7 linked regions of the Rattus norvegicus genome follow. The protein of the gene in region 1 purifies or fractionates together with the protein of each later gene. This does not show direct contact. Links are inferred from orthologs where the notes say so. Each region holds a gene or a part of one and is shown in the gene's direction. Other genes may lie near its edges. The genes, in order: Aar2, Ddx23, Tssc4, Znhit2, Snrnp200, Eapp and Prpf6.

Evidence for each region.
Region 2: the proteins of Aar2 (region 1) and Ddx23 purify together in Homo sapiens (affinity purification with mass spectrometry; 3 studies listed by BioGRID and IntAct, counting the BioPlex papers as one, with this or other methods). This does not show direct contact. The link is inferred for Rattus norvegicus from reciprocal best matches to the Homo sapiens genes AAR2 and DDX23.
Region 3: the proteins of Aar2 (region 1) and Tssc4 purify together in Homo sapiens (affinity purification with mass spectrometry; 3 studies listed by BioGRID and IntAct, counting the BioPlex papers as one, with this or other methods). This does not show direct contact. The link is inferred for Rattus norvegicus from reciprocal best matches to the Homo sapiens genes AAR2 and TSSC4.
Region 4: the proteins of Aar2 (region 1) and Znhit2 purify together in Homo sapiens (affinity purification with mass spectrometry; 3 studies listed by BioGRID and IntAct, counting the BioPlex papers as one, with this or other methods). This does not show direct contact. The link is inferred for Rattus norvegicus from reciprocal best matches to the Homo sapiens genes AAR2 and ZNHIT2.
Region 5: the proteins of Aar2 (region 1) and Snrnp200 purify together in Homo sapiens (affinity purification with mass spectrometry; 5 studies listed by BioGRID and IntAct, counting the BioPlex papers as one, with this or other methods). This does not show direct contact. The link is inferred for Rattus norvegicus from reciprocal best matches to the Homo sapiens genes AAR2 and SNRNP200.
Region 6: the proteins of Aar2 (region 1) and Eapp purify together in Homo sapiens (affinity purification with mass spectrometry; 4 studies listed by BioGRID and IntAct, counting the BioPlex papers as one, with this or other methods). This does not show direct contact. The link is inferred for Rattus norvegicus from reciprocal best matches to the Homo sapiens genes AAR2 and EAPP.
Region 7: the proteins of Aar2 (region 1) and Prpf6 purify together in Homo sapiens (affinity purification with mass spectrometry; 3 studies listed by BioGRID and IntAct, with this or other methods). This does not show direct contact. The link is inferred for Rattus norvegicus from reciprocal best matches to the Homo sapiens genes AAR2 and PRPF6.

What each region holds. Positions count from the first base shown.
Region 1 is NC_086021.1:165,516,013-165,520,858, forward strand, and holds the start of Aar2 (protein AAR2 homolog), read left to right. Parts: upstream 1-1,511; 5' UTR 1,512-1,846; exon of another isoform or gene 1,847-1,952; coding exon of another isoform or gene 1,953-2,015; intron 2,016-4,846. UniProt on the Homo sapiens protein: Component of the U5 snRNP complex that is required for spliceosome assembly and for pre-mRNA splicing.
Region 2 is NC_086025.1:131,676,608-131,680,746, reverse strand, and holds the end of Ddx23 (probable ATP-dependent RNA helicase DDX23), read left to right. Parts: intron 1-689; coding exon 690-932; intron 933-1,744; coding exon 1,745-1,896; intron 1,897-2,074; coding exon 2,075-2,183; intron 2,184-2,791; coding exon 2,792-2,966; intron 2,967-3,331; coding exon 3,332-3,555; 3' UTR 3,556-4,111; downstream 4,112-4,139. UniProt on the Homo sapiens protein: Involved in pre-mRNA splicing and its phosphorylated form (by SRPK2) is required for spliceosomal B complex formation.
Region 3 is NC_086019.1:207,680,686-207,685,015, forward strand, and holds Tssc4 (U5 small nuclear ribonucleoprotein TSSC4), read left to right. Parts: upstream 1-1,859; 5' UTR 1,860-1,977; intron 1,978-2,226; 5' UTR 2,227-2,291; exon of another isoform or gene 2,292-2,401; 5' UTR 2,402-2,410; coding exon 2,411-3,376; 3' UTR 3,377-3,559; downstream 3,560-4,330. UniProt on the Homo sapiens protein: Protein associated with the U5 snRNP, during its maturation and its post-splicing recycling and which is required for spliceosomal tri-snRNP complex assembly in the nucleus.
Region 4 is NC_086019.1:212,781,925-212,785,587, forward strand, and holds Znhit2 (zinc finger HIT domain-containing protein 2), read left to right. Parts: upstream 1-1,659; 5' UTR 1,660-1,689; coding exon 1,690-2,892; 3' UTR 2,893-2,941; downstream 2,942-3,663. Other genes in the region: delta(14)-sterol reductase TM7SF2, read right to left, coding at 3,416-3,576. UniProt on the Homo sapiens protein: May act as a bridging factor mediating the interaction between the R2TP/Prefoldin-like (R2TP/PFDL) complex and U5 small nuclear ribonucleoprotein (U5 snRNP).
Region 5 is NC_086021.1:134,884,856-134,888,994, forward strand, and holds part of Snrnp200 (U5 small nuclear ribonucleoprotein 200 kDa helicase), read left to right. Parts: intron 1-1,386; coding exon 1,387-1,579; intron 1,580-2,141; coding exon 2,142-2,197; intron 2,198-4,139. UniProt on the Homo sapiens protein: Catalyzes the ATP-dependent unwinding of U4/U6 RNA duplices, an essential step in the assembly of a catalytically active spliceosome. Plays a role in pre-mRNA splicing as a core component of precatalytic, catalytic and postcatalytic spliceosomal complexes.
Region 6 is NC_086024.1:77,914,981-77,919,119, reverse strand, and holds part of Eapp (E2F-associated phosphoprotein), read left to right. Parts: intron 1-2,022; coding exon 2,023-2,134; intron 2,135-2,141; exon of another isoform or gene 2,142-4,139. UniProt on the Homo sapiens protein: May play an important role in the fine-tuning of both major E2F1 activities, the regulation of the cell-cycle and the induction of apoptosis. Promotes S-phase entry, and inhibits p14(ARP) expression.
Region 7 is NC_086021.1:189,115,366-189,119,504, forward strand, and holds part of Prpf6 (pre-mRNA-processing factor 6), read left to right. Parts: intron 1-2,288; coding exon 2,289-2,383; intron 2,384-3,129; coding exon 3,130-3,286; intron 3,287-3,949; coding exon 3,950-4,112; intron 4,113-4,139. UniProt on the Homo sapiens protein: Involved in pre-mRNA splicing as component of the U4/U6-U5 tri-snRNP complex, one of the building blocks of the spliceosome.

The sequences.
Region 1 (4,846 bases):
TTGTTTGTTTGTTTGGTTGTTTTTTTTTTTTTTGCATCTGATCCCTGTACTCTCTGAGTCTGTAGTCCCTCTGTGAAGCTCAGTTTTCTCTTCTGTGAATTGAGAATACTAATTGCCAAGTTTTCATCCCTATACTGGGTCACTGTCTCAGAATTTTAGCACCAGTAAAAAGTGTGGACACATCTATTGGCAAGGGAGACTTGGTCTTGGTAAGGGACAGAAATGGGAAATAAACTCAGATCAAACCCTTGACCAACTGAAGGTTAGAGATATGCAGGTATGGTGAAAAAAAAATGAGACCAGTAAAGGGGGCGGAGGGACTCATCCTTTCTAGGGATGGCAAGGATTTGGATACAGCTTTTATGGTTTCTCGCCATTGACAACTGTCATGGTGCTGGAGGTAGGCATCTTAAGAGGCTCGATAATGGGGGCTGGAGAGATGGCTCAGTGGTTAAGAGCACCGACTGCTCTTCCTGAGGTCCTGAGTTCAAATCCCAGCAACCACATGGTGGCTCACAACCATCTGTAATGAGATCTGATGCCCTCTTCTGGTGTGTCTGAAGGCAGCTACAGTGTACTCATACAATAAAATAAAATCTTAAAAAATAAATTTATAAAAAAAAAAAAAAAAAGAGGCTCGATAATGAAGATGGAGGTCGTCCTCTGTTCTGTCAGTCATTGTAGATACAGCCAGTCTTGGTAAAGTCACCTGAAGAAGAGATTGATTGAAGGCCTTTGAAAATCCGGTCTTTACAGATAAACAAGCTTATAATCAGGTAGGTAGAGTTGGAAATACAAGATTAGAGGAGGGTCCCACATTGGCTAGGATTAGTGAAAAGATTAGAAGTAGTGTCTATATATCCCCCAGTGGCTCTGGTTCTTGGTGAATTCTGATGCACAGAACCACCCAGCACAAGGCTAGGCCCACAAATAGTCATTTATTATACCACATTATTTGCTTTGTTATTAAATGCACAGTACATCGATGAGGGCTATGTGCTAGGTTCTAAGGAAATCGAGAGGAAAAAGACAGGCAGGATTCCTCACTCAGTGCGCGATTTAGAGCTTGACTGTTGTATTCCGTAAGGCCTAGAAAACACTGGGTGGTCACTGCTGGAGGAACTGCTGTGGTGGCTGTTGAAAGAACTGCTTCTCTCTTTAGGCAACAGCCTTGGTTCTGAAACTAGGGAGACTTGGAGGTAATAGGGAACTTCTGACATGGTGACTGGCATAGTAAATGTGGCTGAAGTGTGACAAACCACGACTGTGTGCCAACACCTGGACCATGCTTTGGCTAGTCCGTGTCTGCTTGAGACCAAAGGACTGCAGCTGGTTGAGTATGTTTCTGGACGGGGATATAAAGTGTATAGTTTAATTAAAATCGTTATTCACAATTCGGGAAGTTAAATGAACCAGTAAGAAGAAAATGGCAGTGCTTTATCGTGAGGAACCTGGAAGCACGGGCCATTTCTTCTGAGACCGGGGACTCCGCCGGACTACTTTTTCTGTAGCACCTATCCGGCTCCAAAGCAGCCGAACTTCCGTCCAGTTTCCGCGGAGCCCGAACGTGAGGTAATACGGTGAGTGTCAGCTCTTGGTGCTCCTTTCGTCCTTTGGTTTCGTTAAATGTGATCGGGTCACCTCGTTTCTTGTCTCAGAATCGCGCCGGCGGAGTCTGAATTTGTGATCTGGTGTCTCGGGAGGCCTTTATTTCTGAAAACCCATCTCCAGGGACACCATGGTCAGGCTCTCTGGGGCTCACGAAGTAACTTTTCCCCCCTTTTAACTGTAGATCTTGGGAACCAGAGATCGTATACTCACTGGAGCTGGTTCTGCGTGGCTTCCTGTAAGTCACCCACCTGGCTTCCTGGCTTTATTTAAATGTATATTGTAGTAAGTAAGTTTTAAGCTTCGTGCATACGCTAGGGACCTAGGACTCGAGTTCTGGAGGCATGACAGTCTTCAATCAAGTACACAAAGTTACACACCAGTCACTGGAATTGAAAGGCTTCAAGGTATCCAGAGTATAATCACGGAACTTTTGACTTAGTCCTGGGTCGAGGAGGCTTTACAAGATTAGAAAAAAAAAAAAAGTTTGACAAAATGCTGTGGGTAGAGTTTTCTCTGGTTTGAGGGTCAGAAAGAAGCCAGTGTGGTTGGAACAGTCGTCGGATTGGGGTGGTATTAAGTAAGCTGAAGAATTGCCAAAAGTAATTCTTGTAGCATTTTCGGGCCATAGTAAGAATTTTATGTTCCCTAAAGCCAGATAGAGAAGGCATTGAGGACCAAGGACTCTTGCTCTTGGGAGTTGGTGAATAGGCTGAGGAGGTGTCTTTCTGTATTGCAGGGTTGTGAAGAATGCATCCCATTTGTATGTTCCAGACTTTTTTTGACTGAACTACAGGCACAAGACTTTTATGCAGTGACCACGCATAGAGGCACAGGCCTTCATGGAACCAGTCCTATCCTTGTTCCTTGTGGCATTTTGATGGCTTAAAACTTCTCTTCTCAGTGCTGGAGAGATGACTTGGTGGTTAAGTGACTTGCCTGCTCTTCCAGAGAATTTGGACTCAGTTCCTACCACCTTTATGGTGCTAAAACTACCTCTAACTCCAGTTTCAGGGAATTCAGCATCCTCTTCTGCTTTCTGTATAACTTTTTCCATTATTTCAGATTAGCTTTATGTCTAAAAATGATTTCTTAACTCAAGTTATGTCTTGCAGTTTGAAAAAGAGTGCTGATTTAGAGACCTTTCTTCTGTTTGTTTGTTTTTAAGGTAAAGACAATAAAGTGTACGCCTAATATTTTTTTAAAGATTTATTGTATTTATGAGTACACTGAAGCTATCTTCAGACACACTAGAAGAGGGCATCCAGCCCATATTTTTTGTAAAAGGATTTTTGTTTGTTTGTTTGTTTGTTTTAAATAAAAGAATAGGGGCTGGAGAGATGGCTCAGTGGTTAAGAGCACTGACTGCTTTTCCAGAGGTCCTGAGTTCAAATCCCAGCAACCACATGGTGGCTCACAACCATCTGTAATGAGATTTGATGTCCTCTTCTGGTGTGTCTGAAGACTGCTACAGTGTATTTATAATAATTAAATAAATCTTTTTTAGGGCTGGAGAGATGGCTCAGCGGTTAAGAGCACCCGACTGCTCTTCCAGAGGTCATGAGTTCAATTCCCAGCAACCACATGGTGGCTCACAACCATCTGTAAAGAGATCCGATGCCCTCTTCTGGTGTGTCTGAAGACAGCTACAGTGTACTTATATATAATAAATAAATAAATCTTTAAAAAAAAAAAATAAATCTTTTTTAAAAATTAAAAAAACAACAGCAAGACACACTTGATTTTCCTGATTGTTAATTTTGAGGCCACCTCTGTAAAACACAAACATCTGTTTTTCAGTGGTCTTATTCTGTGAATATTTCTTTTTTTTTTTCTTTTTTTTTTTTTTTTTGGTTCTTTTTTTCGGAGCTGGGGACCGAACCCAGGGCCTTGCGCTTCCTAGGCAAGCGCTCTACCACTGAGCTAAATCCCCAGCCCCGAATATTTCTTTTAGGGCCCAGTAACAATCCCGCACAGTGCCTGTAATCTGAGTGTGTGTCTGTTGGACTGGTGAGTGACTTCCTACTCAATTTAGTAAAAGTCGGAATAGTTGATTGGCTTAAATTGGTTCATGCTGAAAACATTCTTACAAATACTGCAGAGACAGCGTCTGCTACACAATTGTGTTTTACATTGTGTGCATGTGAGTGAATGATGGGGTGGTGGGTCATATGCTGGGGCAAGCATGTGAAGGTTAGACAACTTTGTGGGTTCTCTTTTCTCCTTCTACTTTATAGTATCTGGCCATCGAAGTGAGGTTGTCAGGCTTAAAAGGCAAATGCCCTTACTCACTGAGTATTTGCCAGCAACCCCTGATGCCTTTGTTTTTAACCAAAGGGTCTTTATAAGGAATTTAAATGTGGATAAAATAAAGAATCTAAGCCTCTCCTCAAATATTGTAGACCTGCCATGTCAGTCTTCTCTGGATGAATTGTGGCTCTGTGGGAAACTGTTTGATCCCTGGACTTTAGGTGGTTTTGTTTTGTGATTACTTGCTTGTTTTTAAGACAGTGTCTTGTGTACATATCGCAGTCTGGCTTCCAATTCACTGTGTAGCTGAGAATGACTTTAACGTCTGATCCTCCTGCCTCTGCCTCTCTCACAGATGTGTGTGTGTGTGTGTGTGTGTGCGCGCGCGTGTGCAAGGATCCTTTGTGTGCAATGGACAATCACTGTACTCAGTTAACTGTCTTCCCACCAGCTGCTTGTTTTCATTGTTTGATTTTTTTTTTTTTTCCGGAGCTGAGGACCGAACCCAGGGCCTTGCGCTTGCTAGACAAGCGCTCTACCACTAAGCTAAATCCCCAACCCTTCATTGTTTGATTTTTGAGACAGTCTCTAGCAATCAAGGGTGATCTTGAACTCCCGATTTCTCTGCCTCGGTCCAGCAAGGGTTGGGAATACAGGTGTGTACCACTGCACCCTGCCATGTTGTCTTTAAACTAGGAAACCAGCCCTTTCTTCTCCCTCATTTTCAACGAGGTTGTTGATGAGTGAAAGAAGGGAGTTTGAAAAGCTCTCCTCCACACCTCAGACTTTTTGTTAACTTTAGATGCTCATGGGAAATTAGGTAGCCAGTTTGATTTGGTCGTCTTTGACAGATCTTATGGTATTCTCCAGTAGCAGGTTTTAGGTAGAATTGTAGCTTAAGATGACTTTTGCATTGTTCTAGTTTAAAATGAGCCATTTGAACCTTTTCCACCTTCCCCTGCTGTTGAGAGAAAGACATCTGATGGGC
Region 2 (4,139 bases), on another chromosome or scaffold:
CCCCGCCCTCTCTCCTTCCACAGTGCTCCCCGCCCTCTCTCCTTCCACAGTGCTCCCCGCCCTCTCTCCTTCCACAGTGCTCCCCGCCCTCTCTCCTTCCACAGTGCTCCCCGGCCTCTCTCCTTCCACAGTGCTCCCCAGCCTCTCTGCTTCCACAGTGCTCCCCGACCTCTCTCCTTCCACAGTGCTCCCCGGCCTCTCTCCTTCCACAGTGCTCCCCGGCCTCTCCTTCCACAGTGCTCCCCGCCCTCTCTCCTTCCACAGTGCTCCCCGCCCTCTCTCCTTCCACAGTGCTCCCTAGTGTTTTTCCATCTAAGCTAGTTCCTCATGATTCTGCCATCTGTCTAACCCTGGATGTTATTTAGTTCTTTTTTTTTTTTTTTTTTTTCGGAGCTGGGGACCGAACCCAGGGCCTTGCGCTTCCTAGGCAAGCGCTCTACCACTGAGCTAAATCCCCAACCCCCTGGATGTTATTTAGAAACCCCATTTATTCCTGAAGGAAACTGAAGGTAGCAGATAGTTTCAGGTCCATTCTCTGGGACCTTAAGTACCAAATCTGGCTGGAGGTTGAGGGTCAAGTTCCTTAGCATTGAAGGTCTGTTGCCTAAGTGGGTAGATAGTTCATAGCAGAGAAAAGAAACAGGTGAGTTGTCTGCTAAAGCCATACATGGTTACACTGATCCTTCCAGATTGTGATCGCCACCCCAGGACGTCTGATTGACGTGCTGGAGAACCGTTACCTGGTGCTCAGCCGCTGCACCTATGTGGTTCTGGATGAGGCCGACAGGATGATTGACATGGGCTTCGAGCCAGATGTGCAGAAGATCCTGGAGCACATGCCTGTCAGCAACCAGAAGCCGGACACGGACGAGGCCGAGGACCCCGAGAAGATGTTAGCCAACTTTGAATCAGGAAAACACAAGTACCGTCAAGTAGGCAGCTTTCTTGGGAGAACTTGAACCAGTTCCCAAGTCTTGTTTTCAACCTTCCTTGCCTAGGGAGGGCCCAGTGCACACGCTTCCAGCACGCTAACACTACTGTACATGCTTCCAGCATGCTTGTGGTGCAGAAGAAAAAGGTGCCAGGCATAGTGACTCATGGCTAAAGCCCCAGCACTCGGGAGGAGGCAGGAAGATTGCCCAAGACTGAGGCTAGGTTGTCTTAGATGTGAGTTCCAGGCCAGGCAGATGTGCACAGCAAGATCCTGTCTCAAAAGAGCTAAACAAAAGTAAGGACTGAGGGCTGATGAGCCAGCTCAGGAGGGAAGTTCCCAGCAAGCGCATGGTGGCTTGTGAGCATCTAGAAGGGGGTCTGATGCCCTCTTCTGGTGTGGAGGTGTAATACAGAGAGCACTGGGGCATTAAAAGAAGAAAAGTAGACAAGCTGGGCACTGGCACACCTTTAGTCCAGCCTGTGGGAGGCAGAGGCAGGGGGATCTGAATCTGAGGCCAGCCTGGACTACAGAGTGAGTTCAAGGACAGCCAGGGCTGCAGAGAAACCCTGTCTTGAAAAACCTGTAATGATCATGGTGATGATGACCTGATGTGAGGAATCATGATGCTACTTGGATCCAGGTGGTAGCAAATGCTCCCGGTCCTTCCTAGTGTGAGACGAAAGGCAAAGAACACTGTTTCCCAGGGTAGCAGTGTTAGATTAATGTCTTAGCCTGAGTCGGGCTGCTTGGGCTGACAGTAGGGTATGTAGTTCATCTGCCTGGGCCCGAGCTGAACCTCCTGTTTTATAGACAGTCATGTTCACGGCTACCATGCCTCCAGCGGTGGAGCGTCTAGCCAGGAGCTATCTTCGGCGGCCTGCTGTGGTGTACATTGGCTCTGCAGGCAAGCCCCATGAGCGGGTGGAACAGAAGGTCTTTCTCATGTCGGAGTCAGAAAAGAGGTATGGGCGGGGCTGATCTGGGAGACCTGCGTAGGGCGGCTGTGGGGTGGTTGCCTTGCTGTTTCCTCCTTTGCAAGGTCTCTGTTGAGGACCTTGGGTTTGTCAGTTGCTGGGCTTGAGTGTTGGGGTTACTGAGTCTGGGTGGTATGTGTACCTTATTCTCCTCCCCCTCCCCCAGGAAAAAGCTGCTGGCAATCCTGGAACAAGGTTTTGATCCACCCATCATCATCTTTGTCAACCAGAAGAAGGGTTGCGACGTGTTGGCCAAGTCTCTGGAGAAGATGGGGGTATGTCTGGCAGGCAGAGCAAAGCCAGCGCTGCAGCTCTCTGAAGCTAGGGATGGATGGGGATGTGGCTCCCACTCGCTCTTTAATCTTTACACATCTAACAAACCAGGGCTACAGAAACTAGTGCATGGCTTGAGAAAGGGAGGAGAACTGGTCAGTTACTAGGATTCCCTTCTAGTCCGGCAGCCAGACGGGTGGGGCCAGTGTGAGGCTGGAGCCCTATGAGGGTGGGGGAGGGGTGCTGATGACCAGGCCTGTACTGCTCACCAGGTAAGGGGTGTCCTCAGCACTCAGCTCCTCATGTCCGTAGCCTTCCTAGCCTGTTACCTCCCCATTCCTTTACCTGATTCTCCCTTAGAACCTGTCGTCTGCCTGGCTCCTCATCTCAGCACACTCCTGGGCCTCAGTCCCTATCCTGCCTGCCCCCAACAGGACGCCATGTTTTTGTTCATTCTTGCTCTAGTTCCTGTGTTCTTTCCTCACTTCACTGAACTTCTCTGGCTTCTATGCTCTCCCCTAGCATCATCCGCTCTCCTCTAGCATCGCCTGCTCTCCCCCCTCCCTGTTTCTGCTCCCTCTCCCTGAGCCTAGTGCTTTCTACCCTACAGTACAACGCCTGTACACTGCATGGTGGCAAAGGCCAGGAGCAGCGAGAATTCGCATTGTCCAACCTCAAGGCTGGAGCCAAGGATATTCTGGTGGCTACAGATGTGGCTGGTCGTGGTATCGATATCCAAGACGTATCTATGGTTGTCAACTACGACATGGCCAAAAACATTGAAGGTGAGGCCTGCAGGGGTAGCTTCACTTCAGGGTTAGGAGAGAGGCCACTTACATTGTCCCTCTCAGAGTCAGGGTGCACCGAAAACTCTGCTTGAGTCTGGGGCGACGTCCCAGTGTCTAGGATGACACTTCATGGTGTGTAAAGATTGGCTCTGGCTGGGAGAGCGTTAGTGTTGCTGTGCGACAAGTAGGCAGTGGAGTGGGGGATGGGCAGAGTGGAGGGCACTCTGGATTCACCGGGTGTAGACAGCAGGAGGTGGATGGCTTGCCCATGGAGGTCTGTGGGGCAGAGGGTTCCTTTAAGAGTGGGCACCACGCACCAGGACATCTGACTTGGTCCCGAGTGACATTCTTCTGCTCCCTAGATTACATTCACCGAATTGGCCGCACAGGAAGAGCAGGCAAGAGTGGTGTAGCCATCACCTTCCTCACCAAAGAGGACTCAGCCGTGTTCTATGAACTGAAGCAAGCCATCCTGGAGAGCCCAGTGTCCTCTTGCCCTCCAGAGCTGGCAAACCACCCAGATGCCCAGCACAAGCCAGGCACCATCCTTACCAAGAAGCGCAGGGAAGAGACCATCTTTGCCTGACACAGCACCTGAGTGGATTTGAAGCCATGCTCTGAAACTGGTGCCTGTCCTAAGCCCTCATGACCCCTCCAGGCTCTTGTCCTTGGCTCATGGGTCTTAGGAAGCAGCCAGAGTCCCTGGTTTGGAGCCTGTGAGGTGGGCTCCAAGGGAACAGGAAGGGCTGTAGGAGGCAGGAGCAGCACGCTATGGGGCAGCTGCCTAGCACGATCTCCAGCCTGAACAAACACCTGGTCACCTGGAGGGGACTTCCTCAGCACACCTGTGTGACTGTACAGCAGTAGTTGCCCTGAGTGACCCAGGGGATCTGGCATCATGAGGATTGTGGACCTTGGACTCTGTCACTCTGACAACTGGTTTCCCATTCGGAGTTTAAAGCAGGTTGAGCGCCCTTAGAACTGCGCAGCCCTGTGCCACACAACCTCTGTGCCACGGGTGCTGTGCACTCTGGGCATCCCTCCTCTCCCCGCCCCTCGGAGTTTAAGTCAGTAATTTGTTTTCTATTCTCTGAGAAGATAAGTTTGTATGTTCTGAGAATAAATACATGAATATTAAAGTGTGTCAGCCCCTGGCTCCGCCCTCCTCTC
Region 3 (4,330 bases), on another chromosome or scaffold:
ACTTTTGAGTCTTTTTTGTTCTGAACTTTTCCTGTCACCTTTTGGAGCCGACACCACACATAGGTGGCGTATGTGGGGACGTAGAGGTGGAGCTGGCCCTAGCTGGCAGGGCCCTGTACTTCTGGGACCCCTGGAGAGTTCTGCCTGCTGAGCCAAACCTCCTCCATAGCTACTTGTCCAGAGGCCACATAGCCAAGCTAGAAGGCCATGTCCACCCACTCTGCCCACTGTGGGTCACATCGCTCCCATCTTTTTAATCCTTGTCCCTTTCCTGCCTCCATTTCAAGAGCTGGGTTTGTAAGCACTCTTATGCCTTCAATGCACTTATTCTTTCTAACGTGTCACCTTCAACTGTAATTAAATCTTGAAACAGTCATTTAATAAAGGAGGAAAAAATCAGGCATGCTAATGGGACTGCCAGACCTCTTCCTGTGCCAGTGGTGTCAGAGACCTGGCTCGTCAGCTCTGAACTTTGCCAGGTACAGGGTGAGCAGGTCCAATAGAGCCTGTGGAACACAGTGGGTGGGGAGGGCTGGGACCCTGGGAGCACTCCATGTTGAGTACTCCCTCACTTCTGTACCTCCCTGTACTGGGAGCTCAATGCTGACCTAACACCAGCCTTGACCTCATTTCCACTCATCTGTTGGGAATGCCAGGTCGGCTGAGTCGGGTAGGAGGAGCCACAAGGCAGGGGAATCCAGCACAGAATGTTGGGGATAAACTGCAAGAACACTTTCCTTTTGAGGGACAAGACAGTAAAGGTTAGACCATTACCCCATCTCAGGTATCTAGGTGTTGGAAATATTCCACTGAGCTGGATGGTTCTAGCTTGTGTCTCAAGAAATAAAAGGCAGTCCGCTGAGCTCACCCCTGTGAACTGAGGATCAGGCTAAAGCAACCTCCTGGACACAAGGGGCAACCACCACTGTCTTTCTCTTTGACTCCTGTCTGCACCCCTCCCCCAGGCTGCTGGGTTAATTGGCCACTAGAGAGGAGAAGTCCTGGCTAAGATTCAGGTCCCAGCAGTAGGCTGATTTGTCGGTGAACCCCAAGCTTGTACTAGGGCATTCTAGGTCTCAGCCACCTCCACCCACCACGCCAGGGCAACCTGTTCCATGCTTGGCTGGCTTCTGAGGGAACCTTTATATTCTATGTTGTGAGGCCCATGGGCACCAGGCCAAGGCTGTTGGAAGCCTGTTGCACAGCTTCAAGAACATAGTAAAGGAGGAGAGAATGCAGCAGCCCAGTGGATCCTCAGACTCTGGTGTCTAAGGATGCAAGAAAACAGTCCCAGGCCTGGAGGAGGATTATGTGTGGCCTTGAATAGTAGGGTCAGCGTCCAGCACCTAAAGCGTCCGTCCGTGCCTGTGTCAGGAAGCACAGACAGGCAGTGCCCACGGTAACGGCCTCGAATCTATGAAGCCCCAACCAACCCATTACAAGGACCACCACGTCTCTATACGCCAAGAGCCAACCAGGACCTTGGTCCCGCCCAACTCCAGAAAGCCAACAAAGCACAAGACCCGCACCACTTCCGCCCAGGGCCGGAAGTGTCTGGGAAACTGGTTGTAGCTCGCAGTGCGTAGTGACGCACTTCCTCGTGTCGGACCCGGCCCAGGTGGCTTCCGACGGACGACGCTAGAAGCCTCAACCCTTTGCGATTGGCAGTTAACCCTAGAGTATTGTGGGAATCACGGCTCCGCCTTTTCCCCTTTCGTCATTTCTGGGTGGATTTCCGTGTGCGCTCCGGTCTTCGGGATGGCACACATGTTACAAGTCCCGGCAGGCATTAGGCAGTGACCCCATTGCCTTCTGGGAGTTGTAGTTTCTCGGGCGCTGAAGCCACAATATTCTGATAGCCCGAGACTCGGTTTCCCAGGAATCCAAGCGAGATTGAACAGGCCGGAATCCCGTGGAACTGGCGGGACGCTGCGGGAAAGGTGGCAGGTTATTGAAGCGTGTACGGATGCTGGAACGGTGAGCACTGGCCTCCCTAGGGCCGCGACCAGGCCAGTACCGTGCCTGTTTCTGCCACCTCCCCCTCCGGACCCCGGGTGGTGCCTTCAGTGTGTGCCCAGAGAGGCTGCGCTTTGCTAAGAGCTCGTGATGGGACGAGCCGCTGATGGAGATCCCCTGTCACCAGCATCTCCCAGCGCTCATCTATTGTATGTCCACACTGTTATGATCTCATGGTTGACTCTCTCCTTAACCCCACCTAACCTGCAGCTCCACATCTGTGCACGCTAGGATACCCTTTAGCCACCCAGCTTCGCGAGGCCTCCGGTCCGGTTGTGAGTAGAGGCGCCTGGCACACAGTGGAGGTGAAAGAGCCCGGGAGGGCGGGGAGGGGTGCGGCATTAGGTACACCCCTCACGGCAGAACTGGGACTGCCTTGCTACAGGTGGGACGGATGTCAGGTCTTATGGCGGAGACAGAGGCCGGCTTGGAGGTTGAGGAACCCACCGAGGATGACACCCTGCCTTCTGACACCGTCTCCCTCAGCGACTCGGACTCTGACCTCAGCTTACCTAGTGGTGTGGAGGTCCAAGCGTTGTCCCCAGAGAGGCTTTCTGGGGAGAGCCAGGAGGACTCGGGCCCTGATGACCCTCCCTCGCACCCCACGGGCATTCCCACCACTGCAGTGCAGCCGTTCCACCTCCGAGGCATGAGCTCCACTTTCTCCCAGCGGAGCCACAGCATCTTTGATTGTCTGGAGAGTGCAGCCCGGCAGGAACCGTGCTCTGCTCCCCAAACCAGTGTGGTTGACAATTGCAGCTTCAAGCGGCCTGTGGCTCCCCCAAGTCAGACTCCAGCAAGAAGCTTGAGCAGAGTGCATGGGAACACTGACCCGACCAGGGTACACCCTGTCCCTGACTATGTGTCACACCCTGAGCGTTGGACCAAATACAGTCTGGAAGATGTGTCTGAAACCAGTGAGCAGAGCAATCGTGATGCTGCCCTGGCCTTCCTGAGCTCTCGAAGCCAGGCATCCCCCACAGACTATGTGCCCTTTTTCAACCAGGACCCCTCTAGCTGTGGGGAGGGAAGAGTGGTCTTCACCAAACCAGTGCGGGGCAGCGAGGCTAGGGCTGAGAGGAAGAGGGTCCTAAAGAAGGGGGTTGTGTCAGGTGCAGGGGGTGAGGCCTCAGTGGAGCTAGCCCATCTCGCCGGGCCTGAGGCTGAGGAATGGAGTGGCCACCAGGGACAGCCAGAGGTGGTAGTGCCTTCAGAAGCTGCCCGTCCTGAGTCCTCATCAGGCCCCATAGGTATGAAAACTGTTGGTTTCCATGGCAGCAAGAAGCGGAGCAGAGACCACTTCCGGAACAGGGATAGTAACCCGGAGGGGCCAGGGTCTGAGAGAGGACCCTCAGTTTGACTGCAGTGCCATCGCTCTACCTCCTCACCTGCCCAGTCCAGGTGGGACAGTGTGGGCTCTCTGTAGTAGGGATGTGTGGGCCTCAACTCTGGCAGAGACTGGGAATTGTGGGTCAGGGGACCTTGAAGGCCTTTGTGCCCCATTGTTTGGGGTGAATAATAAAGGTTTTGAGTATTTACTGAATTTCGTGAATTTTTCTCGGCCCCACTCAAGAGTTATGTCCAAACAGTCCTGGGCAGCTAACTACAGGACTGCATCTCTACCAGCCTCATCCTGCCTTCCCCGCTCTAGTGAGGACCGCTGTGAAGGTTTGCCATGGGCATTGATGTTTGTCACTGGTAACCTACCCAGAGGGAGTGGGCTCGTAGCTGTGTTCAGCCTTGTGCCCCTGATGGTACTGGATGAGCATAATATGGTCCCCCTGCCCCCCAGAAACCAGTGCAGCCCCAGCACTGGGCCCGCACAGACCACGGGTTCTAGGAAGAGGATAAGTTGTGAGCCAGCAAATGGTTGGTGTCCGGGCTGTATGTCTCCAGGACTTGTGACCTCTGTATAAGACACAGCTGATGCTAGATCCTTCAGCTGAAGCTGGGCCAGGGAGGAGGAGAAGGATGCACGAGTGAGTATTTCATGTGGAGGCCAGGGACTTGGACCAAGTTAGCCAGCCTGGCCTGCTAAGCACCGGGTCTGCCCCAGTCTCTGTAGTTCGCCTAGAAAGGACCTGGGTGGTCATTTAATTTGAGAAGTAGTAGAAGGAACAGAGATGCTGTTCATTGGGTCAGATAACTCCATGTTCCCCAGGTGTTTGAAATGTTGGTTTAGCCACCCCTGTGGTCCAGTTTAGCTTAGTTGAGGTGGTCTACAGGCTTTATAGAAAGTAAAATAGCATTGGGTACCCTTGAGCAGTATCTTGGGGTTTGTGCCAGGACAATCACACAAATTATGCTGTGGGGG
Region 4 (3,663 bases), on another chromosome or scaffold:
ATAGTTAAACCATAGCTACACAATGAAAATTAGCCATGGCTGGGCTGTAGTGGACTTGAATCCCAGCACTCAATCCCAGGCAGGGAGGCCTCTGAGTTTGAGGACAATCTGGTCTACAGAGTGAGTTCCAGAACAGCCAGGGATAGACAGGAACTTTTAACTTAAAATACCGGAAAAGAGGATAACATTTGAAACTTAAAAATATCCAATAAAAAAAAAAATAGTTAAGTGTGGTGCTGTACTGGGGTGGGGAATTGGCATTGTTTTCAGAAGAATGTCCCTAGAAAAAGCTTAGTGTGTGCCTCCTGTCATTCCAGTACTGGAGAGGTGGAGGCAGGAAGATAAATTCAAAAGCATCCCCTGCTATACAGGTAGTTTGAGGGCAGCCTGAGCTTCAGACCTTGTCTCAGGAAGCAAAAAAAAAAAAAAAAAAAAAAAAGCAAAGAAATCCTTAGAAGGTTACAGACGTCTAAGAGATGTGATTAATGAGACTGAAAAGGAGAGCTGATCTGAACTACAGAAATTTGACAATGTGACAAGTGGTCATTGAAGGTACAGATTCTACAGGCTTTGCCAGATAGCTTTCTGGTTTGTGTTGGTCCATTTTCCAGTATGACTGGACACTAATACAGTATTTCCGTCACAGGCATACCCTCCAGATAATCCACTAAGGCCTACCTCTCAATAGGCCTCATAATATTTAACAATGCAAACAATTTCAATACCGTCGGAGGGATGTTTTCCCTATTTGTATTGCTTTGCTGTGCTTTTGTTATTTGAGACAGGGTCTCAGGTAGGCCCAGGCTGGCCTTAATTTGATATGCTTGCCTGTTATGTATTTTGAGCTCCAGATTTGTTAAAAATGCCTGGTTTATTTATTTTTTTAAATTTATTTTATGTATATGAGTACTCTGTAGTCTTCAGACGCACCAGAAGAGGGCATCAGATCCCATTACAGATGGCTGTGAGCCACCATGTGGTTTGCTCACCATGTGGGAATTGAACTCAGGACCTCTGGAAGAGCAGTCAGTGTTTTTTTGTTTGTTTGTTTGTTTTTTTGTTCTTTGTTTCGGAGCTGGGGACCGAACCCAGGGCTTTGCGCTTCCTAGGCAAGCGCTCTACCACTGAGCTAAATCCCCAACCCCGCAGTCAGTGTATCTTAACCACCAAGCTATCTCTCCAGCCCCCTATTCATTTATTTTTGTCTGTTGTTGTTAGTAATATTTTGCTGGCCTTGTTTGTTTGTTTCCAAGATAGGGCATCACTATGTAGCTCTGACTATCCTGGGATGCACATGAACTCACAGAAATCAGCCTACCTTTGACAACCCGGTGCTGGAATTAAAGGTGAGAACAGCTACGCCCTGCTAAGACCCTGGTGTTTTTTGTTTGGTGGTGGTGCTTGGTTTTGTTATTTAAAAGATAGTTTATTTTTGCACAATTTGGTACAACCACAAAGAACAAACTGGGATTAGCGACACAGTTTTTCAGAATTCGGCGAGCCAACGTGTTGGGAAGAGCTTGGGCGACTTCTACGCTTGCCCAACGAGCTACTCTGGAGAGTTACTGAGAAGTCCCAGAAATGTGCCGAAAGGAAGCTTCCCCCGCCCTCCACGCACACAAAAGCGGAAATAACCAAAGAAGCGCCGGAAGTGGCGGAACTGGTACAGGACAAGCGGCACCAGTTTCCATGGAGCCCGCGGGGCTCTGCGGCTTCTGCCCGGCCGGGGAAGCGGTACCAGCGCGCTACACCTGCCCTCGCTGCAACGCTCCCTACTGCTCGCTCCGCTGCTACCGGGCTCACGGCGCCTGCGCCGAAGACTTTTACCGCGACCAAGTGCTAAGAGAGCTCCGCGGCCGAAACGCTTCGCCCAGTCGTCTGGCGGGCGCATTACGCCGGCTGCGTGAACAACGCGAGGCCGAGGATGAGCCCGAGGAAACAGGCCTCCGGCCCGGCACGCGGCCGGGCGGTCTTTCTGGACTTTGGGAACGTTTAGCGCCGGCTGAGAAGGCGGCATTCGAGCGGCTACTGAGCCGTGGCGAAGCCGGACGCCTCCTGCCTCCGTGGCGGCCCTGGTGGTGGGGCCGCGGCACCGGCCCACGTTTTCTGGAGGAGCTGGATGATGACGCGAGTAGAGATCTTGCGGAGCCGGAGCTACTCCCTGCGAGGACCGGGTTGGAGTCCGTGGATGATGCCGCTGCCGCTGGGGAGCCACTTGCTGAAGACTCCAGTGTCGCCAGACCGCCCGCAATGCCTGCCCGCATCCCAGCACTGGCCAGTCTGAGCCGCAGCCCTACCTCGCCACTGGTGCGCTTCCAGCTGCCCAATGTGCTGTTCGCCTATGCTCACACTCTCGCCCTATATCATGGAGGGGACGACGACGCGCTACTCTCTGACTTCTGTGCTACTCTGCTCGATGTTTCTGGGGCCCTGGGAACCCAGCAAGTCTTTCACTCTACAGAGGAAGCCCTGCAGGCCGCAGCCCACGTTCTGGAAGCGGGCGAGCACCCACCTGGGCCCCTGGGTACACGGGGTGCTATGCAGGAAGTTGCCCGAATCCTTCTGGGCGAGGGTCCTATCAATCAGAAAGGCTACACGCTGATAGCATTGGGGCACCTGGCTCAGACCCTGGGTCGAGCCCGGAAACAGGCTGTGGTTGGTGAAGAGCGAGATCGCCTTTACCGGGCTCGGAAGAAGTGCCAGTTCCTGCTGGCTTGGACCAATGAAAACGAGGCTGCTCTCACACCCCTGGCTCTAGACTGTGCCAGAGCCCACCGAGCCCATGCTGTGACAGTTGAGGAGATGGCAACCCTTACTGGGGAGCTAGAACGGCTTTGGGGAGGCCCAGTACCACCTGCACCAAGGATTCTCATTGAGGAGCTTCCTGGCTGAGCTGGGCATCCATGTCATTACATTAATAAAGATGTGTCTGCTCTGCCCAAATGTTGGCAGTGCCTTTCTTTATAGATGGTGCCCTGTCGTAAGCTTCTTTTGAAGTTACTGTATAGTTGAAGATGACCTTGAACTTCTGATCTGCTTCCCACCCCGACAGTGGGAGGTTACAGGTGTTAGCTACCTTGCGGATATGCAGTGCTGGATAGCAAAGGCTTCCTGTGTGCTACACAGGCACTCTATAACTGAACTACATCCCCAGGCCTGAAGTGCCCCTTTCTGAGGGTAACCAATTGTCTCACTCAGGCTTTTGGACCCACAAACCACTTTTAAGCTTTCATTAGTCAGCTAGTCATCCCCAAGCCTCAAGTCACTGACCCCAGGATAGAAGAAAAACAGCAAAGGTTGAAAACATTTATTCAACAGGGAAAAATTTCCTTCTGGGAGCAGTGGCTCCCTCTTGCTTTCAACGTTCTTGTTTTCAACGTGCTGAGCATCCCTGCCGAGTAGAACTGGTTCTGCTTCAGTAGACATACGGTATGATTCGGTAAGGCACGCGCTTGCAGTATTCCTGCCAGGCACGGCCATACTTTCGCAGGCACTGCTGCTCATCTCGGGCCTCGCGGTGCACCAGCAGTGCAGTGAAGTAGAGCAGGTAGAAGTAGGGCAGCAGGTGGGACAGCCCTGTAAGGAAGGGGCTGCATGGTCAGCCATCACGATGAGCACCGGTTTATAAAGGCTTTCACAGCTGATGGCACATGGGGTGTCAGG
Region 5 (4,139 bases), about 31 Mb from region 1:
CACCGAGGAGGAAAGAGGAAGGGCATAGAGGAGTTTTTTTTTTTTTTTTTTTTTTTTTTTTTTTCTTTTCTTTTTTTCGGAGCTGGGGACCGAACCCAGGGCCTTGCGCTTGCTAGGCAAGCGCTCTACCACTGAGCTAAATCCCCAACCCCAAGGAGTTTTGACTGAATATTAATTACATATCTTTATTACTGTGTGTGTGTGTTTGTGTGTGTGTGTGTGTGTGTGTGTGTGTGTGTGTACATATGTGCATACGAAAGTCAGGACAACTTTCATTGTTGTTCCTGTCTTTGTGGGGGACTCAGGAATCAAACAGTTGGGCTTGGTGGAAGTGCCCTTACCTGAGGAGCTATCTTGCTAGTCCAATCAGAAGAATCTTTGGATTTTCCCAGCAGGATGGGAAGGGCAATACCATTTTGTAGAAACTAGCACTTAGCATAGTATACATAGGTCAGCATGTTAACTATAAATGGGTGCCATTAACACTCATTTTCAATGTAATAAAAGAGAGATGTGAGATACTAAAGTCAAGGAGATAGCATTTGTCAGAATGTGAATCCAAGTGGTCCATACCCCAAATGTGCTCTGAACCTTTGCACATTTCTGATTAGACTGAGAGCCTTTATGAGTTCTCTAGCGAGCTGAGGAATAGGGAATGTGTGAACAAAGAATAGTGAAAGTGTGACAGGACATAAGAAGGCTGCTGAGTGCCTCTTTCACCTGGAGATGTGTGGCAAGCTATTGTGAAAGTTATATTCTGCTTCTGAATACACCTACCTATCACCCCCACCCCCAAGTGCTCAGACTGACTCCAGGATCTCATGAATTTTAAGCACATGTGGCAACACTGTGTTAAATCCTCAGCAGCTCCTCTAGTCTTGGAGTTTTATTTTGTTTGCCGTGTGAGACAAGGTTTCCCATAGCTCAAGCTGACATCACACTGCGTATTTAAGAATGACTTTGAACTTTGGTCTTGTTGCTGCTTCCCATGTGCTAGGATTACAGGCATGTGCCACTGTGTCCTGTTCATGAATGTCCAAAGCCTAGGATGCTGCAGATTCGCTTGCTTGCCTCTTATGTGTATGACTGTTTTGCCTACATGTATGTATGTACACTACATATCCCTGGTCTCTTGGTGATCAGAAGAAGGCTTCAGATCTCCTGGAAGTTGAGTTGTGATTTGATGTTTTTTTTTCTTCGAGCCATCATGTGGGTTCTGGGAATTGAACCCAGGTCCTCTGCAAGAGCAGCAAGTACCCTTTTGAGCCACATCTCCAGCTCCTGTAGTTTTGAAGATATATACTGCTTTACTTTCTATTGTCACAAAGGCGGTCAGTGTCCTTCTGCATATTATTGTTGAACATGTTGTCTGTGTTTTTTCTTCAGCCTCGAGATATTCTTTGTGGGGCAGCCGATGAAGTTCTGGCTGTTCTGAAAAATGAAAAGCTTCGAGACAAGGAGAGAAGAAGGGAGATTGACTTGCTGCTGGGTCAGACAGATGATACGAGATACCATGTGTTAGTAAACTTGGGCAAGAAGATCACAGACTATGGTGGCGACAAGGAGATCCAGAATATGGGTACCTGAGCTGCTTGTGTCCTAATCATGTTTTGTGGTTGTTGGCCTTTCTGTTGAGTACTCAGCGTCATTGTTAAACTTTTAGAATAACATTGTTTCCATAACTTATGTTGTGTTGCTTAAAGAAAATGGCTAATCTGCAGGCCTTTCGGACAGGCTTATCCCAACAAGTCAGCCTAGTCTGCATAGCAAGTTCCAGCTGCCAGGGTTCCTTAGCAAAACCCATCTAAGAACAATAAAGAGGATAGTCATCTCTTGACGTTTGGTTGTGAGCCTTATCCTTTAGTAGCTGACTTACCTCTCCAGCCCTGGCAGCCATTTTTAAATTGAGACTTACTACACAGGCAGTGAGAGAGAGCAGGGAGGGTTTAGGAGCTGAAGAAGCAGAGCAGAGTAGAATCCAGGTTGGCAGGTTCGAGAGGCCTTGGTGCTGTTTTTCATGTTGATTAAGTCTGTGTTCTGGCCTGAGAATCAATAAGCAAGCCAGGCTGCTGAGGAAATGGTCTTGAGTGTCTCCTCCATACTAACCACTGCCCTCTTTTTGTAATTCCACATCACCTCAGATGACAACATTGATGAGACTTATGGCGTGAATGTGCAGTTTGAGTCTGATGAGGAGGTGAGTGGCTTTAAATGGTTCCCTTCTGTTTTGTTTTGTGATATTACCAAGGTAGTGGGAGCTCTTCTCATAAACTGAAATTCCTAGCTAAATAACGTTTACAGTGTTTTGTGGTAGACTTACAAATTTGGTATTATTCTGCTTAAAAAGTTATGGTTCTGGTTTAGAAGCTAATTTAAACTAGTAGGTGTAAATGACAGTTTATAATAAACCAGACAGACCTGGGAAACTAGGAAGAAGGACTGAGAAATGCTATCCTGTAGGCACAGTTATTGCAATCATGGACTCAAACAGCTACACTTACTTACTGTTGTCCTGTTCAAGTCTGACCCTGTCAGGGATTGGGGAGGAGTCCCTTCTCCTTGCTGCCTAACTATTGGTTATTGATAGATTATGAAAAGGAAGTCATTATCTTCAGTCCTGTAACCACTTCTGACCTTCTGGTTTCTGATGGTTAAATTCAGTGGGTCACAAATGACACAAGTGGGCAGGAATGTGAGAAATAGACGTGTAGGGAAGAGGAGGCTCCATGGGGTGGGGGTGGGGGTAGGGGCGATGATGACGAGAGTGGCAGTAAGAAAACGGTATGCATTGTGTACATGTATGAAATTGTCAGAACACATTTAATCAAAGGAAAAAAGATAAATCATGTCTTTAGTGAGGATGTGTCCTGCTATAGTGAGTGTTTTAACCATGTTATAGTAATTTACCATGGCTTTAGTACTGTGTGCTAATAGCTAGTTTCAAAAGAAAGCATATTCTAGGAGTATGGATGTAGTTGTACTTGGCTGTCTAGCAGTTGTAGCAGCTCCTGGGGTTAAAGCTCTCCACTTCTAGATAATAAGTAAATAGGACTAGTAGGACAATTGAAAAAGAAAAGTTGAACCAGGAATGGTAACACAGTGCCTACGATCCCAACAATCAGGAGGTTAAGGCCAGCTGGGCTACATAATGAAATGTTTCTAAATAATTTTTTTTTAAAAAGTAGTTACTTTAGAGTGAGTTTGTTTTCTGAAAAAGAAAGTGCCAGTCCTGAAATGTTTTCCTGTGACAGGAAGAGAAGATGTATCCTGACTGGAGTCAGGATGAGCACTGAACTGAGAGCCAAGGAATCTTGAGTTTTAGCCTGTATCTTGGGCAGACCATTTTGCCTCAGTTTCTGTTTTAGTAAAACAAAATGCTACTTCCTACAGAATAGTTAATTGGTAGAGAGTTTTTATTCTCTCTCTCTCTCTCTCTCTCTCTCTCTCTCTCCACCCCTTTCCCCTCCCCCTCTCTTTCCCTCCCCACCCTCTCCTTTCCTTACCCCCTCCCTCCCTCCCTCCCTTCCTTCCTTCCTTCCTTCCTTTTTTCCTTCCAGACAGAGGTGTGTGTGTGTGTGTGTGTGTGTGTGTGTGTGTGTGTGTGTGTGTGTGTGTGTGTGTGTAGCTGGGACCAACTCATTAGACCAGAGGCTGGCCTCAGACTCACTGAGATCCACCTCTACCTGGCCTCTGCCTCCTGAGTGCTGGGATTAAAGGCATGTGCCACCACAGCCTAGCTGTTAATTAGTAGTTTTAATTAGGACAACCTGACACAAATTTCCTTGCTCATAGCAATTTATTTAGCAAGTGCTAATTGTTGAACATGATGCTCTTTAAGAACAGTCCACAACTGAGATTATGCAAACTAACCATGGTGTCTACATTTCTGGCTCACAATCTGCTTTCCTGTGAGTACATCTTCATAGGTCCTCTGTTAGCCAATAGTCTTAGTTTGAGATATCTGTGTCTCAGAAGGAGCATATGATCCTGGTGTTTGATATTTGGCAGCTAAGGTAAGAAGCAGAAAAGAGGACAGATACATCTAATAAGCCCGTTCCAAATGGTCATTCCGTTGATGTTCCTGGAATATGGTTGATTATTGGCTTTACCCCAAAGCCATTGTTCTAAGCATGGTGCAT
Region 6 (4,139 bases), on another chromosome or scaffold:
CTGTTGTGAATTGTAATGTAAATATCTGTGTTTTCTGATGGCCATTGGCAACCCCTGTGAAAGTGTCCTTCAACCTCCGAAGGGGTCACAACCACAGGTTGTGCCCAGAGGATAAGGGCACCTGCTATTGTTGCAGAGGGTCCTGGTTCAGTTCCAGAACTCACCTTGCCCCTACAGCTATCCATATATAACTCCACTTCTAGAGCTCACCTTGCCCCTACAGCTATCCGTATATAACTCCAGTTCCAGAGGACCTGGGTCCCTGTTTTGGCTTCAGCAGGCACTAGGCATTTATACAGTGTACTTAACATACACTCATATATATAAAATAAACCTTAAAAGAATTACCATTGGTTTTTAAATATTATTTTGTTCTGATTTTAGTATTTATTTGAGAGATGGTCTTGGAGTATAGCCCTGTCTGACTGGAAACTTACTGTGCAGCACATCTGGCCTCACATTCATGGCAGTTCTCATGCTTCTGCTTTGCAAATGTTAGGATTACAGATGTGAGCTGCCATTGTCTGGTTTAGTAATGATTTATGTTTGAGAACTTGTGGTGATCTTCTATGCGGAAAGTAATTCATAGGACTAAGGATGGAGCTCAGTTTACAGAATTGCTTGCATGGTGTACACAAAGCCCCAGATGTGATCCCAGTGTGGATGCACCTGTAATTCAAGCACTTGGGAGGTGAAGGCTGGGGTATCAGAAGCATAGAATTATCCTAGGCTACCTAGCGAGTTGAGGCCAGCTCTGCCTACACAAGACCCAAATCACATTCTTAGCATTGTTTTTTTTTTTCTTAATCAAAAATTATTCTGTATATGTGTGTATTTATGAGAGCTCATTTTACAAGTCACATACGGCTGTAGAAGACAACTTGTGAGAGTCATTTCTCTCCTGCCACCACGTGAGTCCCAGGGACTGAACTCAGATTGTTAGACTTTCGAGCAGTCTCACCTTCCTCCCTTTTGTTCTTTTTTTTTTTTTTTTTTTTTTTTTTTGTTCTTTTTTTTTTGGAGCTGGGGACCGAACCCAGGGCCTTGCGCTTCCTAGGCAAGCGCTCTACCACTGAGCTAAATCCCCAACCCCCTCCCTTTTGTTCTTGACAGGGTCTCATACAAGCTAAGCTGGTCTCAAACTTTGTATGTAGCCAAGGATGACCTTGAACTCATGATTCAACTTCCTCTATCTCAGGCACTGGGATTGTAGACATGTGTCAGCATGCCCAGTTGGTTTTAAGTGGGTTTTGTTTTTTATTATTTGAACTTAGCTTTTTGGCCTCCTTTATCTTTTGTTTTAGTGTCTTTTTTTTTTTTTTTAAGATTTATTCATTTATTATATATAAGTACACTGTAGCTGCCTTCAGATACACCAGAAGAGGGCACCAGATCTCTTTACAGATGGTTGTGAGCCACCATGTGGTTGCTGGGAATTGAACTCATGACTTCTGGAAGAGCAGTCGGGTGCTCTTAACCGCTGAGCCATCTCTCCAGCCCTGTTTTAGTGTCTTAATTGGACAACTCTTCTTTTTTTTTCTTTTTTTTTTTTTTTTTCGGAGCTGGGGACTGAACCCAGGGCCTTGCGCTTGCTAGGCAAGCGCTCTACCACTGAGCTAAATCCCCAACCCCGGACAAGACTCTTATTGGAAGAATAGCTTTATTTAATTTTATGCATTGTTTTGGGGATAGGGTTTTACTTTTGTTGTCAGGGTATCCGGAATGCACTGCGTAACCCAGGCATGGCAGTTCTCCCGCTTCAACTTTCCAAGTGTTGAGACTGCTAAAGAAAGGCTTTAGGCATCTTTTTCTTTTCTTATTTTTAGTTTAATTTTTTACTTACTTTATATCCTGCTCACTGACCCCCTTCCGGTAACTCCCTCCCATTTAGGCAACTTTTAAAAACATAATATAATAGAATAAATAGATAGTATGGGAAACAGGAGAGTCATTTGATATTAAGAAGTGTAAACTTTAGACATGATACTGATCCATGTTCTTAACCTTTCTAACTAACACAAGTGACCAAGAAGAAGAAGAAGAAACAACACAGGATTCCAACAAACGATGAGCTGCTCTATGATCCCGAGAAAGATAGCAGAGACCAGGCCTGGGTAGATGCAAAGAGGAGGGGGTAAGAATTTAAGTCTATATTTAGAATCTTTAGAGAAAGCCAGAGTTATTTTTCATTGCTTTCCTGTTTGACTGTATGTGTCTTTGTTTTCATACAAATACATCAAAAAAGTTCGAGGATTGAAACTTGAATACTTGGGCTGGAGAGATAGTTCAGTGGTTAAGAGCACTGGCTGCTCTTCCAGAAGTCCTGAGTTCAATTCCCAGCAGCCACATGGTGGCTCACAACCATCTGTAATGGGATCTAATGCCCTCTTCTGGTGTGTCTGAAGACAGCTACAGTGTACTCATATAAAATAAATCTTTTTTAAAAATTAAAAAAAAAAACCTTGAATATTTTATATGAAAATAACCAGCAAATTTTAGTTAAACAGTTTTTATCTGTCTCTCTGTTTTTGAGACAAGATCTCTCTATGTAGTCGTGGCTGTCCTGGAATTTGCTCTATAGACCGGGCTGGCCTTGAACTCCCTCTGCCTCTTTAGTGCTGGGATCAAAGGTGTGCGCCACCACCACCTGGCTGAATTTTTATTTGTTTTTAAAAAGATTATCGTGTAACCCAGACTGGCTTCAAACCTTAATATGTTCTTGGGGCTGGCCTTAAACTCTTGCCTCTACTTTCCAAATGCTGTCTGAAGTTTCAGGTGTGTCACCACAGCAATTAATTGTTGCGTTATTAATGAGTCTAAACTGTTAAGAGTTTCTTCATTTAAGAAATAAAAGAACGTTTTTATTGTTCTTGTGAGACAGGGTCTTGTTATGTTCTCCTTATGTATGCTGCCTTGGCTAACTTACAGCAGCCCTGCCTCAACCTAAGTGCTGGGATTGTAGGTGTGTGCTGTGCCATCATGCCTGGCCTTTCCTCTTGCCCCTACTCTCTGGTACTAAGATTGAATTTAGGCTCTTGAGTATGCTGGGCAAGCGATGTCACTGAGGTGCATCCTTAACCCTCATGTTGCTTTTTAAAACAAGGTTTGATTACTCTGTAGCCCAGTGGACCTGGAATTTGTAGTCCTCCTACCTCAGCCACCTGGGAAGCAGGGACTGTTATAAAACTAAAGTTTCAGTAGTTGGTTGGTTGGTTTTATTGGTCTTTGAAAATTAACTTTTTCCAAATAGATACGCTAAACTTTTTTTTAAAGTTTTTTTGTTTGTTTGTTGGGATAAGGTTTCTCCTAGACTGACCTTGAAGTCCCAGGGCTATTCTGCCTCAGCCTCCCAAGTGCTGGAATTATGACTGTACACTACTATGTTTATTTTATAGTTTTAAATCATTTTGAGTTTAGGGTTTTAGTATCTAAATTGTTAATTTTATTTTTAGCTATCCTAGAACTCTGCTGACCAGGCTGGCTTTGAATATGCAGAGATCCGTCCACCTCTGCCTCCCAAGTGGTTCTTTGCTCTTGTTTTGTAATCCCAAGTACTGGGGTTAACGACTCGTGTCACCTTGCAGGCCCAAGAACAAAATGCTTCTGAGTTTGTCCACACTGTAGCACAGTACTTCTTCTTATGGCTGCACAATGTCATCGTATGTGTGTCCACCAGGAGAAGTTTGTTCTGTCTGCCTTTTGACTGTCAGGAATAGTGTTGTCAACACTGATGTGCACGTACTGGCTTGAGCCCCCACTTCTGCTTTTGTTACAAACCTAGGAGGAGTGTGGTGGAAGCTTGTGGTAATTCTTTGTTATAACCTTTCCTGTGCACTCGTGTGTGGTGCTAGATATGGAATGTATGCTGTTATACACGCTAGGCGATATGGAATGTATGCTGTTATACACGCTAGGCGATATGGAATGTATGCTGTTATACATGCTAGGCGACATGAAATGTATGCAGTTATACACGCTAGGCGGATACCAAGCTGCTGAGCTGTACCCTCAGGGCCTAGGAGGCTTTGCTTCAGTTCATACAGGGATGGGTATCTGGTTTCACGTCTGAAGGGTTGATGTTGCTCTGGAATCACTGTACACACCTTTTAGCTTCAGTTCTTCCACCACGTCCTTTCCCT
Region 7 (4,139 bases), about 24 Mb from region 1:
ACATAGGCATTTGTGTGCGTGCGTGTGTGTGTGTGTGTGTGTGTGTGTGTGTGTGTAAGCCAGACATCAGCTTTGGGTGTCTTTTATTCTCTTACCTTATTTGTTTGTTTTTTTTTTTTTTTTTAAGTTGGCAAATAAAACAGAATGCCCCTGCACATGTTCTTCTTGGTATTTTTGTTATTTTATTTGAGACATGATTTGGCATGTTATTGGCTGTCCTGATCTATGTAGACCAGGCTAGTCTTGAACTTGTAATCATTTGCTTGCCTCTGACTGCCAAGTGCTGGTATAAGCTACTGTACCTAGCTTTCTGGAGGAAAGGAAGATAGTCTCGTGTAGCCTAGCTGGCTTCACACAAAGTGTGTAGCCAAGGATGGCCTGATCCTTCCACCATGATCTTCAAAGTGCTTGGATGCTAGGCGTGCACTTCCATACCAGTCACTAGAAAAACAACGCTTTTTCTCCTGTTCCCCTTTTTCTGTGCTCTGTGTTTGTTAACCTGTCTTTTCTTAAAGAGTGTTGGATAGTGTGCTGGTACACCCGTAATTTCAGTACTTAGGAAGCTGAGGCAGGAGCATCACCTTGAGCCTGAATCCAGCTTGGGTTATAATATGAGATTCTGTCTTTTAAAAACATTTTTAAAACCTTCAGCCGGCGGTTTGGGGAGACGAACCTTCCACCTTAGACCATGGCCAGGTTCATCCATAACTTCGCAGAGAAGGTACCATTGATGGTGGCCGCTGCCTGACTTACTCGAAGCCTTGATTGGCCACACTTTGGCACTACGCCAAGGTTGAGCTAGTTCCCCCAACCCCTGGTGAAATCCCTACAGCTATTCAGAGCGTGTAATTCAAAGTGCTAAAACTGGTAGCTTCAACCACCTTACAGTTAAGGAAGCTGTGCGAAATGGTTTGGTGGCCACTGAGGTGTGGATGTGGTTTTACATTGGAGGGCTAGGATGAAAGCCGTGCTTCACCTTGGCCGGCTTCTTTTTAGTTTTTTTTTTTTTTTTAAGATTTATTCATTTATTATATATAAGTACACTGTAGCTGTCTTCAGACACACCAGAAGAGGGCACCAGATCTCTTTACAGATGGTTGTGAGCCACCATGTGGTTGCTGGGACTTGAACTCATGACCTCTGGAAGAGCAGTCGGGTGCTCTTAACCGCTGAGCCACCTCTCCAGCCCTTCTTTTTAGTTTTTAATTTTGGAAACTGATACTCAGTAAATTGTCTAGGCCAGTCTGGAACTCATTCTGTAGCCAGGTAAGCCTTGAACTTTGGTCATTCCTGCCTTAGCCTTCCAAGTAGCTGGGATTACTGGTCCGTGCTATCAGACACGGCTTATTATGGCAATTTAAAAATTTATGATTAAGGGGCTGGGGATTTAGCTCAGTGGTAGAGCGCTTGCCTAGGAAGCGCAAGGCCCTGGGTTCGGTCCCCAGCTCCGAAAAAAAGAACCAAAAAAAAAAAAATTTATGATTAAAATAGTAGAATGAGCTTTTAATTCCAGCACTTGGGGAGGCAGAGGAAGGTGGATCTCTTGAGTTCAGGGTTAGCCTGGGCTACAGAATGAGTTCCAGGACAGCCAGGGCTACACAAGAAATCATGTCTCAAAAAAGAAAAAGATTAGTACAATGAACTTCCATATTGAAATTTAAAAAAAAAAAGTTGAAATTACCAGCCTTTTACTTAAGACTTTCTGGACTTAGGTCCGTCTTAAAAAGACATTTTTTTAAAATATGTTTTCTTGAAATTTCTTTTCATGGAACTTTTAGGATCAGTATCTCTATGTGTCTTGGTTACTTTTATTTTCTCTTTTCATTTCTTAGAAGAGAGACACTCTAGAGTGGCCAAGTTTTTTGAAATCTCAAAGCCCACCTCCAGTGGCACATCCTCTCCAACAGGGCTACACTCCCTAAGCCTTTCCAAATTGTTTCACCTACTGGGGACCAAGTATTTGTATATGAGCCTATGGGAGCCATACTTAAGTGTTCTGAACTGCTGAGCTGTCTCTCCTGCTTCAGCCTCTAGGTTTTCTATTGATTTATCACTTTCAGTGATGCCGAAATTAATCCCGCAACATTAATCCTTGTAGAAGATTTCTACACTTTTCATGTAGAAGACATTTTCTCATCACTAACTGTTGTTTGAGTCACAGTAAGATTGTTTTTTCCTGACTGCTTTTCATGAGATTTGTCGGGTGGGCCTTCAGGGTTGTTGGTAATTCGTTGTTTTAAACATTGCTGGTCATGACTAGCTCATTCTCCCCTTTACCTATCTCACAGGTATCTGACTCAGTGAGTGGGCAGACTGTTGTGGACCCCAAAGGCTATCTGACGGACCTAAACTCTATGATCCCAACCCATGGTGGCGATATAAAGTGAGTATGCTGCAGAATTGATGGGTTGAAATGGGAACTTTAATTGCTTACTATGTTGTGGAGTTTTTTTTTTAAAGAATATACAGTCAACCCCAAAAGTACAACAATGCCAAGCAACCAGAGCTTCCAGGGACTAAGCCACTACCTAAAGACTATACATGGACTGACCCTGGACTCTGACCCCATAGGTAGCAATGAATATCCTAGTAAGAGCACCAGTGGAAGGGGAAGCCCTGGGTCCTGCTAAGACTGAACCCCCAGTGAACTAGTCTATGGGGGGAGGGTTGGGAGGGGAACACCCATAAGGAAGGAGAGGGGGGAGGGGGATGTTTGCCCGGAAACCGGGAAAGGGAATAACACTCGAAATGTATATAAGAAATACTCAAGTTAATAAAAAAAAAAAAAAAAAAAAGAATATACAGTCAAAATATGACATGGATGTTCTGAGAAATTAGAAGTGTATTTGTGTTCTTTTACTATGTATATTAAATATTTTACAAATAATAAGGTCAATGCCTGTGGTGAGCTAGAAAGCAGCTTGTAGATTGTCTGGTGTTTCCTGTCTGGATATTCAGGCTTCAGTTTGTTTACTCAGTGCCCCCGTAGAGTAGCTCTTTTGGATTTTATGTCTTCAGCATGTTTCCCTTAGCAATTTATTCTGTGTCTTAAGGGGATGCCTTCTCCCAGGCTCTTGCCACACCCTCTAATAGTGTGGCCTGATTTTTTGTGCCTTTTGACCTTTACAGTGACATCAAGAAAGCACGACTACTTCTTAAATCTGTTCGAGAAACAAACCCTCATCATCCACCAGCCTGGATTGCGTCAGCTCGCCTGGAAGAAGTCACTGGAAAGTTACAAGTGGCTCGAAACCTTATTATGAAAGGGACAGAGATGTGCCCCAAGGTAAAGCCATAGCAGCATATTCTCTCGACAGCTGCATGTGCCCATACTAGAGTCAGAGCAAGGTTATGAACAGAAGGAAAGGAAAGTCTTTACGACTTTTGTGTGGAGCAGAGGCTGGCCTAACATAATGGCAGGGTCAGCATCACTGAAAGTGATAAACCTGGCAGCTTGTCAGGTCACACAATATAGAAAACCTAGAGTTGACTCAGAAGAGATGGCTCAGCGGTTGAGAGCATGGGCTCGTCTTCTAGAGGACCTAGACTTGATTTCCAGGTGCCATAGGGCAGCTCACAGCTGCCTGTCATCCAGTTCCAGGGGATCTGATGCCCTCTTCTGGATATGCATCCAAGCAAAACACCTGTATGCATCAAATAAGAATAAGTAAATCGGAAAAAAAAACAAAAAACAAAACAACAACAAAACACAGATTAGTGCTGTCTCTCAGAATATTCTAGCACTTGTGTTTTGGAAGGTGGGATGATTAGGACGAATTTAGAAAGTGTTAATAAAACCAACAATGTCATGTACTCTTCTGTGTAAACTAGGTATATCTGATAATGAAAGAAAACCTCTGTGAAATTCTTTGAATTTTAGGTAAAAATTAGAGCTTCCCAGGCAGTCATACCTGCCCATGTTCTTATTGTTCTTTGTTTTTTCCCCTAGAGTGAAGATGTCTGGCTAGAAGCAGCTAGGTTACAGCCTGGGGACACAGCCAAGGCTGTGGTGGCACAAGCTGTCCGTCATCTCCCACAGTCTGTTAGGATTTACATTAGAGCAGCAGAACTAGAAACAGACATTCGAGCAAAGAAGCGTGTTCTTCGGAAAGGTAAGCCTCTCTGGGAGGTACCCCTTA